Bombyx mori: one gene and its partners. The protein of the gene in region 3 binds, or shares a complex with, the protein of the main gene of each other region. Links are inferred from orthologs where the notes say so. Each region holds a gene or a part of one and is shown on either strand. Other genes may lie near its edges.

The links. Proteins that work in one complex are often made in the same cells at the same time.
Region 1: nucleosome-remodeling factor subunit NURF301 (region 3) and chromatin assembly factor 1 p55 subunit share a complex: the UniProt entries of both Drosophila melanogaster proteins name them as parts of the NURF complex. The link is inferred for Bombyx mori from reciprocal best matches to the Drosophila melanogaster genes E(bx) and Caf1-55.
Region 2: nucleosome-remodeling factor subunit NURF301 (region 3) and uncharacterized protein LOC101741235 share a complex: the UniProt entries of both Drosophila melanogaster proteins name them as parts of the NURF complex. The link is inferred for Bombyx mori from reciprocal best matches to the Drosophila melanogaster genes E(bx) and Nurf-38.

The regions. Positions count from the first base shown.
Region 1 is NC_085109.1:4,082,580-4,085,564, reverse strand, and holds part of chromatin assembly factor 1 p55 subunit, read right to left. Parts: coding exon 2,828-2,985; intron 2,314-2,827; coding exon 2,196-2,313; intron 1,933-2,195; coding exon 1,802-1,932; intron 1,468-1,801; coding exon 1,290-1,467; intron 689-1,289; coding exon 596-688; 3' UTR 1-595. UniProt on the Drosophila melanogaster protein: Core histone-binding subunit that may target chromatin assembly factors, chromatin remodeling factors and histone deacetylases to their histone substrates in a manner that is regulated by nucleosomal DNA.
Region 2 is NC_085115.1:3,623,170-3,626,669, reverse strand, and holds part of uncharacterized protein LOC101741235, read left to right. Parts: intron 1-1,965; coding exon 1,966-2,027; intron 2,028-3,251; coding exon 3,252-3,361; intron 3,362-3,500. UniProt on the Drosophila melanogaster protein: Component of NURF (nucleosome remodeling factor), a complex which catalyzes ATP-dependent nucleosome sliding and facilitates transcription of chromatin.
Region 3 is NC_085116.1:8,932,204-8,936,219, forward strand, and holds the start of nucleosome-remodeling factor subunit NURF301, read right to left. Parts: upstream 2,801-4,016; 5' UTR 2,029-2,800; coding exon 1,014-2,028; intron 1-1,013. UniProt on the Drosophila melanogaster protein: Histone-binding component of NURF (nucleosome remodeling factor), a complex which catalyzes ATP-dependent nucleosome sliding and facilitates transcription of chromatin.

The DNA of each region.
Region 1 (2,985 bases), on a different chromosome or scaffold from region 3:
TGTCATTTTGACATTTGAGACTAAACAATAAAGTTCCTTATTAATGGATATGAAAATGTCACTCATTTAATACGATCATTCATTGACAGTTCGGGTGTCATCGTATTCCGATAAAGATCAAGAGTTTTCCCGAAGGAAAATAGTTTCTCACTACATCTATACTTGTATGTTTAATATACTGTTTACTGTCAAATAGTTTGAAAAGTATGAAAAACGGGACAACTTTTTGCATTTAAATATTGAAAATATAAAATTTTGTGGTAATTTCAATTAGAAGTAAAAAATGCTGTTTGTAATATTTCGAAAAAACTCAGATAATTAGCTAGAATAGCAGATCATTAGTTAGTTAAATTTCATAATGATATTTACAAAGCATTTTAATAAATGTCATTTTTTCCAACAAGATTTTAGTGTTTTGTATAACGTTTACATGATAAAAATTCTATAGAACTAAGAACAGTTCCGAAAACTTGTACCCCATTATTGTTCGGTTGTAGCAGAGTTATCTCACAGATTAACGATTAAAAAGTGAATGTTAAACAATGTTGTTATTTCACACTCTCCACAGAGCACATGAGTCGTACAGACAGGACGACTAGCCGTGGTTGACGTTGACGGCCGACTCTAACTCCGACGCCGGCGTCTCCGGCTCCTCGTCGTTGTAGATGTTCTCAGCCATCTGCCACACCTGTACAGATACCGCACCGAATCAATGTACAACAAATACCAAATATATATTTTTTTTCTACCTATTCTAAGAAGCTACCACCAAGTCTGAACCGCGACTGAAAAGATCCGGCGAGAAACTCAGTGAGTCGCAAGCGACGGGTTCGACAAGAACGATGACCGGTGCTTGGGGTACCTAAAAGCACTGTTAGAAGGATCCGAGATGATGTGCCGAAATATTTATCAAATAGCCTAGATTTGTAGTTTTTTTTTTTTTTTTTATGGCATATATATGTGGACGAGCTCTACAAAGTAAATGCGTCACCCACTTTAAGATACAAGTTCTAAGGTCTCAGTATAGTTACAACGGCTGTCCCACCCTTCAAACCGAAACGCATTACTGCTTCACGGCAGAAATAGGCAGGGTGGTGGTGCCTACCCACGTGTACTCACAAGAAGTTCTAACACCAATAAATAATTATGTGCTAGGGAGAAATTATATTTTAGCAAAGCAATTATATTTTATGCATTAAGATCAACTATAATATTAATGTTTTCTGACAGCTTTCTCCCAAAAGGTGCCTATCTAAGCTAAAAACATTCAACCTATAATTTTAGCATACCTGCATAATGTTATCCTCAGAGACGGAACAGATGACCCATGGTTCATTAGGGTTCCATGAGAAGTCAGATATCTTAGCGGTGTGTCCTCCATGTATGAACAATAATTCTGGGGGTCCATCTTCTGCATCTTCAGCTGTCTGTTCCTCGCCAATCTTTGACAAGTCCCATACATGGAGTCTAAAAAAACAAGTAATGAAGTAACTTTCATAATAATTATTGTCTCGTACAGCAATCAGCAAACCCAGTTCTTGAGTATTGTGCATTTTCCCAAATTTAAAGCGTAAAAATTAGATGTACATGTTTACGATTTTTAAAATCAGCCCAAAAAGTGGCTGTAAGCCCACAAGAAGTCTGAGCTTTTATATTTACTTTGCAACTTCAATTCCATATCTGTTTTTTTTATGGGTGTTGATTTTATTTTACCTACCGTTTAATACTATTATTTTGAGAGTTCTTGTCTGTACACAAGATGTAACAAAAAGTTTGAAAATTCAATTATCTGTAATTTTACCTTCGGTCGGTACCACTGCTCGCGAGAATAGTTTCGTTGTGTGGCGACCATTGTACTTGGAATATTTCGTCTTTGTGCGACTCGAACGAGTGTAGCTTTAATTTCAAATTGCGTAGATCCCAAAGCGCAACCTAGACGGAAATTATATTTATAGTTATAGTAGTTAACCTATTATTAAGGATAGGCTATTTATTATTTAGTTTATTATGATATTAAAACTGTAGTTTCATTTTTCAGTGTATCATGAGCTGATTGAATTCAAAGCTTGTGAACACAAGTTTCGTTAAATTACAAAAAATTGATATATAAATATTACAATTAAATAATAAGCAAAACGCTATGGAAGTTTTGACTTGTTAGATGTGTATATTTGAATTAAAATTAGTAACATTACCGTTTTATCCGCACTGCCAGTAGCAAGAATGAACTCTGAATAGGGATTGAAACTGAGGCAGTTAACTTCAGCGGTGTGTGCGTCCACTGTGTGAGATGGTTTCGATGTATTATTACATCTGTAATTACAACATAATTGTGCTCTATTTTACTAATTATTACTACCATATATGCATACCTCATTATTACACTTAAACGAAATGTGTCATTATATCATAAAAAAATAATTAAAGGTAATTATTAACAAGTAATGAAGGTCAATACCAAATACAAGTTATCTGCAGAAATATGTGAAAACAACCTCCTGTTTGTGTTATCATGCCATGATAGGAAAAGCACTTTCATATTCAAACTAATGATTTTATTATCATGATTGTCTTAAATAGGTCTCTTAGTTAATAAGTATTGTACAATTCACAATTACATAATCAGTATGTCTTGATCTTGTCTCATTTATAATGTTTTATATTTACAATTGTAACTTTTCAAATGGTAGGCTGTGGCTGGGCTCTGCCCCACGCGTTGCCGACGTTCGTGAGCGACAGTAACCACTCACCATCAGGTGGGCCGTATGCTCGTCTGCCTACAAGGGGCAATAAAAAAGAACCTCAAAAAGTTAGTTGTTGGTGTTACCTGGTGTCCCATATCATCAGTTTCTGGTCGTCAGCCACGGATCCGAAGAGCGACTCGTGTAGCAAGTGCCACGCGACGTCCTCGACGACGGCCGTGTGGCCGGTGAACACGGACTTCGCTTCGATGACCCGCCCCTCCTTTGGCGTCGCGTTGATGTC
Region 2 (3,500 bases), on a different chromosome or scaffold from region 3:
AAGCTATTGCTTCACCAGTTCTTATGTTTCAATATTCAAAGTACCGTTTATGTGTCTGTCACATTTATAACTTATTATAACCTCTTTAATATTTATATTGTAAATTATATAGAGGTTACATAAGTACTAAACACCCAGACAAATAGCAAACAAACCTGTTCTTCACACGAATTTTTACTCGATGTGGGAATGTAACCCACTACCCTCTTCCCAACAGTCATAGCTGCCAGCTACTGCACCACCGAAACGTAATCTCAGTAACTTAAATAAAACTTGATAATCGTTTGGCCTTATTCAGCATTTAGCAGAAATCTGAAAAACTTATCGTTTTTTTCTACCTAAGCCGAGAGCCTTGAGAGGCTATATCAGCGTAGCCTTAACTAGAAGGTGAGCTCACGGGGCTCAAACCTGACGACGTTGCTAACACGAACCCTAGCAAGAGCCGTGGTTCGCAGAATCTACCGCCGGATCGGAAACGCGACCCACTGAGAAGATCGGCGAAAAACTCAGTGGACTGTGTCTGAGGGTTAATTTACTCGTCGAGCCCTAGGTCGCAAGCGACGGGCTCGACGAGAACGATGACCGGCTTAAATTGCATGGATATATTTGTTTGGTGACAACAATACTAGCGACAGGGCTCTTTTGCCAATCACTACCGCATTTGATACATTTTGACCTTGTTAATTTGATTGCGAACCGGTTTGAATGTCCTAAATCAAAGAGTAGTTTTACGTTCTCCTCAAACTTAATGTGGCAATGTTTCGGTATGTATCGAAATCAGTGATAGCCTATTGTGTTATATTCGTAAGCTTACGCAGATGGGAGAAAATGATTACGGCTTATAAATCGCCAGAGTCGAAAACATCATTATGTTGAAGCCATCCGACATGACGTTAAAGACTCAATAGTAAAACTGCTGTCGCATCTTTGAAACCACTTCGACTGCTTCGCGGTAAAAATAGGCAAGATGGTAGTCTCAACCCGGGTGGGTTATCCATACAGCCCATCACCAGTAAAAACTGGTTATCGATCGCATCAAGCTGGTAAATTTTTTTATTGCTTAGATGTGTGGACGAGCGCACAGCCCACCTGGTGTTAAATGGTTACTGGAGCCCATAGACATCTACAACGTAAATGCGCCACCCACCTTGAGATATAAGTTCTAAGGTCTCAGTATAGTTGCAACGGCTGCCCCACCCTTTAAACCGAACTGCTTCACGGCAGAAATAGGCAGGGTGGTGGTACCTACCCGTGCGGACTCACAAGAGGTCCTACCACCAGTAAAAATCTTCTTTTACTATAGCAACGGAAAGAGGGTAGTGCTATATTAAGCCTGTAAATGTCGAGCCTCGCTAGGTTAATGAACTCGGCTACACGACCGGTCACCGTTAGATATTGAGGATCTATAAAATTCTTAATACAACACGAAAAAAACATTAACGTTTTTAATTAACAATATCGATTTTAACCATCGTTGATAGAATACGACCGCGTACATGCTCGTGTTCAGATAATATTAATGAGTTTAATATCAAAGAGAAAAGCGATTAAAAATCTATTTTGCTTGTGAAGTTTGAGGCGGAAATTGAAAGTGTATCGAATGAATAATGCGATCGTCCGCTGTCATGAAATGTTTCGATACGTTTTCATATCTAACTAGCTGACCGGGCAGACTTCGTAGTGCCTCAATCAATAAAAGACCTAAACGTTTGTATAAAATAAACTTAAAACAAACAAAACGGAATCCGTCTGACGGGGGACACATCAAAGAAAAAACAAAATTGTTATTTTTATTTAATTCCGAGCATTTTCATATTTATATACCTTTTAAACCTTCTCTGAACGTCCACAAATAATTCAAGACCAAAATTAGCCAAATCGGTCCAGCCGTTCTCGAGTTTTAGCGAGACCAACGAACAGCAATTCATTTTTATATATATATATAGATTTGAAATCGTTTAACAGGTTCACGAATTTTGGAAGAGTCTCATCAGCGGCAACGTTCCTGACGCAACCGATATAAACAAGTACGTGTAAATAGATTTGTTTTATTGTTTGGACGTGTGGATTAGCTCTTGTCGGTTCTGGTATGGGTACCGGAATACATGTATATTAACATTTTTTATTTTTATTTATTACTTAGATGGGTGGACGAGCTCACAGCCCAAATGGTGTTAAGTAGTCACTGGAGGCCATAGATATCTATAACGGAAATGCGCCACCCACCTTGAGATATAAGTTCTAAGGTCTCAGTATAGTTACAACGGCTACCCCACCCTTCAAACCGAGACGCATTACTCCTTCACGGCAGAAATAGGCAGGGTGGGGGTTCCTACCCTTGCGGTCCTACCACCAGTAATTACGCAAATTATATAATAATTTTGCGGCTTTGATTTTTATTACACGATGTTATTTCTTCACCGTGGAACTCAATCGCGAACATTTGTTAAGTACATATTCCATTAGAAAAATTGGTATCCGCCTGCGGGATGCGAATGCGTTAGCGAACGTCTGATCCTTTAGGCCACGACTACTTAAGCCAGCTGCGGATCGCGATTTTTTTTTTTATTGCCCTTGTAGGCAGAGGAGCACACGCCCCACCTGATGGTTAGTGGTTACTGTCGCCCATGGACTTCAGCAATGCCAGGGGCAGAGCCAAGTCGGTGTCTACCGATCTTGAGTCAGTGGTAGTTGCATTCACGAAGCAGCTGCCATCGAGCTGTTAGGTCTCCTTCGCAGCTATTCACAGATCCCATTTCTCCCGGTGAAACTGGAAAGGCCTTCAATAGGTCATCCTTTTTTTTTTTTTTTTAACGCTGGGGAATCCATTTACGGATACTCGGTCCGGGGGGGTAACGAACCGGGTTATGTCGGACTCCGGCGCCTCCTGAGAGGAAGAGGGGGACGAGAAGGTCCCCGAATTCCTCGCAAGAGACTACGCCTTGAAAAAGGCGCGCGAAGCACTTGCCCCGCAGAACGACTACCGACTAAACCCCATCGAGCTCCACCACACCGGCTACACCAGACCTACGGTACCGCAGTGCGCGCCGAAAGTCCGCCTTCGCCGGTACCCGTCCTGATGATAAGACGGGAGTTCATCTCCGGGAAAATCCCGAAGGACGTCATTTCGGGAGATATACCGTGGGCGGCGCACAGGAGCCACCTTGCACCGCCCCACCACTTCAATAGGTCATCCTTCCCAAAATCAAATGTTTTGCGGTGTATCTCATGAGAATGTATCTCGTTCGCAGAATGAACGTGTCAGTGAGCGGCAGCGTGGACCGGGCGGAGCGCTCCGAAGCCGCCGCGGTGTTGGCGAAGGCTCCAACGCTCGGGCAGCCCGCCGCCATACCGCAGACAGGTAACCGCACATCTCTATACTCTCCTTTTTTTTAAGGGATTTTATGACCTGGTAACTAAGACCTTTAGGTCATGTCTTATTTTAATTTATATTCTAATTTTTATGAATAACTAGCGACCCGCCCTCGCTTCGCTTCGGA
Region 3 (4,016 bases):
GAAGGGACTGCTCATATTCAGTCGTAAAAACCGATAGTCGTAACAACCGGTGATGTTTAATGTGTATCGTGCAAGTACAAACAAATCGATAGGGAATTATTGGAAAAATATATTTACATAATACGCGATTTTTCTTCAATATTAATTTGTTTTCTTTTTCTTTGCGACATTTTGAAAATGTCACGAATAACTCTACAAAGTTTTGGTGCGTCTTGTGTATAGATAAGTAACAAACTAACTGAAGAGATATGAAGAAGCGGGCTTTGACTATCGCATGCACGTGTTTTGTTTCTAAGAATTAGAAAAGACCCTACACTAAACTAAATCCTATTGTTTTCTTTCCTGATTTTAAAAGCCATTGAAGACAAATGTGGATACCTATTCAAATTGTTTACAAAACAGTTCAGCCGGTCGTTCTAACAGATCTAATTCTCCGAAATATTAGTTAAATGTGGTTGTTTTATGAGGTATGTCGTTATTACCAATATCGTATAAAGCAATATTTTTAATAAGGCGGTCATATGGCATTCAGCCGGGACCTTTGTTCTTGGTTATTATAACCGGTATGTTGTATTAAACGATGTCGCAGTAAACGGTTTTGACTGTATATATATTAAAAAGTATGTTTATTTCCATTTCTCTATGGAGTAAGAAAGGGCCAATTTTGTTTTTGTAAGTATGACAAAAAATATCAATGTTAAAGTACATGGTAAAATTTAAATTAATTCTTTTATTTCTCGTATACATAAGTAGCAATGACCAATCCCCATAATTATTTAATTTTTTTTACAAACATTTTTACAACAATATTAAATGTTTAAACCGAAACTATTCTTACATTCATAACTATACCTATGAGACCTAAGAACTCATATCTCAAGGTGGGTGCCGGCCTTTATGTTGTAGATGTCTATGGGCTACACTTAACAACAGGTGGGCTGTGAGCTCGTCCACCCAACTACGCAATAAAAAATAAAATAAAAAGTCTTAAATTTGAAAACCAAAAAAATTACCTTCACTTAACAGATCATCACGGACAGGATTGGTTATTAAAAATTGATTGCACAGAAACTGAAGAACTGTTAAACGATTTTCTACTGAAGTAAATGGATATTCACAACTGTTTAAAATTTTAATCACATTTTGATCAAAAACTTTATCACTTTCCACATAAATTCTAAGAACTTCTGGCCATGTCATGACATCTAATAAGAACAATGTAATGTTTACACTGTCTTTGTGATCTAAAGGTCCAAAATGAGTCTGTTGAGCGTCTTCTTCACGTAGCAATGCTTTAAGTAGCATCATATGTACTTCAATCAGCAAGTTACTTTGATCTTCACAGCTTATAGCAGCACAAAGATCTTCTAAGCGAAAAGGAGACAGTCTTACTAAGTGTCTGAAATGTCGCAAAACTTCATATACACTTACAACTTGAAAGACTAAATTTTGGGGTATAATTAGATCATCTGATGAAGGTGGTAAATCTAAGGGTGGAATTTGTCTTCCTTGTTGCAACCACAATGGATCAGGACTGGGAGGTCTGTTTGTTATAGTATTAGTTTTTCGCGGTGTTCCACTCGTTGTACTAAAGCTGCTCACAGAAAAATCACTATCGGTCGCCGCACCATCTTCGCTTCCTTCTGAACTTTCACTACCGCGCTCTTCTTCGAGCTCGGATTTGTCACTATACTCATCACCAAAGTCAGAACCGTAATGATATTCAGATTCATGGTAATCGGCTGCCTGTGGATTATAACCCCGTTTCGAGTAAGAATTGGATATTCCGCCTCTTTTACTTTTATGTGTTTTACGATCTTTTCGCTTTCTCGTACTTCTTCTGCTAATATCACTACCTTGAGGTGAAGAAGCTCTAGACGCCGACGGAGTGTTTATCATAGAAGTGTTCACAGCATTTTGTTGCAAATATTTTGGTTTTTTCAATAAATGAAATTGGAATTTTCTATTTTTTTCAAAACTACTAGATTTTGGGGGCCTCCCGCGTTTTTTTGCCCCCCTTCCTGACATAATTGAGCTGTCAATTGTACACTTTCCAGCACGTGCACCGTGAAAACATAGTTTTGTTTACAAAAACACAATCACGGTAATAATGCATTTCAGTTTATCCAAAGCCCAACGTTGTCATGTTCGGAGGCGTTTATGATGCTTCATGAAATGTATCACTATATGTCCGTAATTGGTTACTGTTTACAAAGTTTTTCACAATAAAATGAAATGTCAACTCATTCACTTAATGAAAATCAATTAGAGATGTACAAATTTGCCCAACACATCGAAAACGCAATGACGCGAGGGCTAGAACTAATACATGCAATTCTAAAACGCTAAACACCGACTTCCTATTGGTCGATTAACGAGACGCCATATCGTTTTCGTAATTTGTTGTAAAATGAAATTCTTGACATCTCCTAACATATAAGATAATGATTTAGACACCGATAAAACTTTAATTACTTGTAAGTCAATAAAAATCTACTTTCATTCATACAAATAATACTCGCTAATAACAGCAACTTCAAAATATAACTAAATCACTTGGTACGCGGCCATTTTCTACTTCCACGGAACAATCACTAATGTGTCTTATTATATTTTTTAATATTCAATCACCATATTTCTATGTAAGTACAATTTTTGTTAAAATTTAATTATTTATGATAGTTATTAATATTCATAATTTCTTTTCAAACAGACGTGTTAGACGCTTAAAGAATAATTTAGCCGGAAGTTTCATGTAGTTTGTCTATGATAAACATTGATTTTCATTATACCAACATTACGAATGCTTTACTTCAGGATTCTAGGCATGTCAAGCATAGCTTGTAGGACGTAATGTATACGTAATAACACAATACATAAATATAATAATAAAATGTCAGAATTCGACCAAAAATCAAACAGAAACTTAGTTTAAGTTTGAGAAACAATTCCATTCGTTGCTGATGCCAGATTCACTTTAACCCTAGGGGCTTAAAAGGGTTTCCACATAAGATGCCACAAGAAGAATTCGACATTTTAGTAAAAAAAAAGTATAGTAAAGAAGGATATGTCATTGTATTATTTTAATGTGTCGATCTGTTTTAAATAATAAAATAGGTTGCTTGAATTTTGAATCAAACGAAAAAACAATTACTGTTTACTTATTTGAATATTTCTGAGACAGCGTATTGACTTTGTCGTGCAAATCAACCGACTTGTATTTGCATGCCTGGTAGTAGTGTGTAACGTTCGATCCCTATGATGCACAATATAGGTATGCCAGAATAGGGATCTGATGTGACCCCCATAGATCAAATGTTGGGTCTTCTTCGTGTGCCGATTTTGGGAGTAGTGAGGAGACTAAAGTCACGTCTTGCGAAAAACCATCTAGACGATGAAAGGCCATACTCCCCGATTCTGTTCTGACCCATTGGGATATCCAGTGGAATGCATGTAACGCCATATAGAAGGGCTTCAACACCCCGATCCAGAGTTGTAGGCCGACACCGTATAAAATAGTCAAATTAAATGCATAACCATATTTATGAAGCAATAACTACCTATTTTTCCTATATTTTAGACTAAGAATTTTACAGTTTTACGGTTTACATACAAATTGTCAATTTCGGAATATAGTTTGAAAATTCACAGAGGTATTGTTTTGAGTTGTCCATTGATCTATGGATAAATAAAGGAAACGTAGATCATAGCTATAGTGACCATTAATTTGTATCAAAAAACAGGGCAAAAGCAAACAAATCCTATTATTACCTATAAATAAATAAAATATAAATACGTTTATAAACACAAGATCGGTTATTACAAAACAATGGTCCTATAATAGGCCCATATTCAGCCCGAACTGAGCGCTGCTTGAACTATAATACATTAATACACTTATTCATTAGCGAGCGATGTTTACACTAGTCGACTAGTCTACTCTATCGGCAAAACAGGTTGTGTTTTAGGCTAAAGCTTGGTCCAAAGGTAATGGACACATAATTTTTTTCTACACT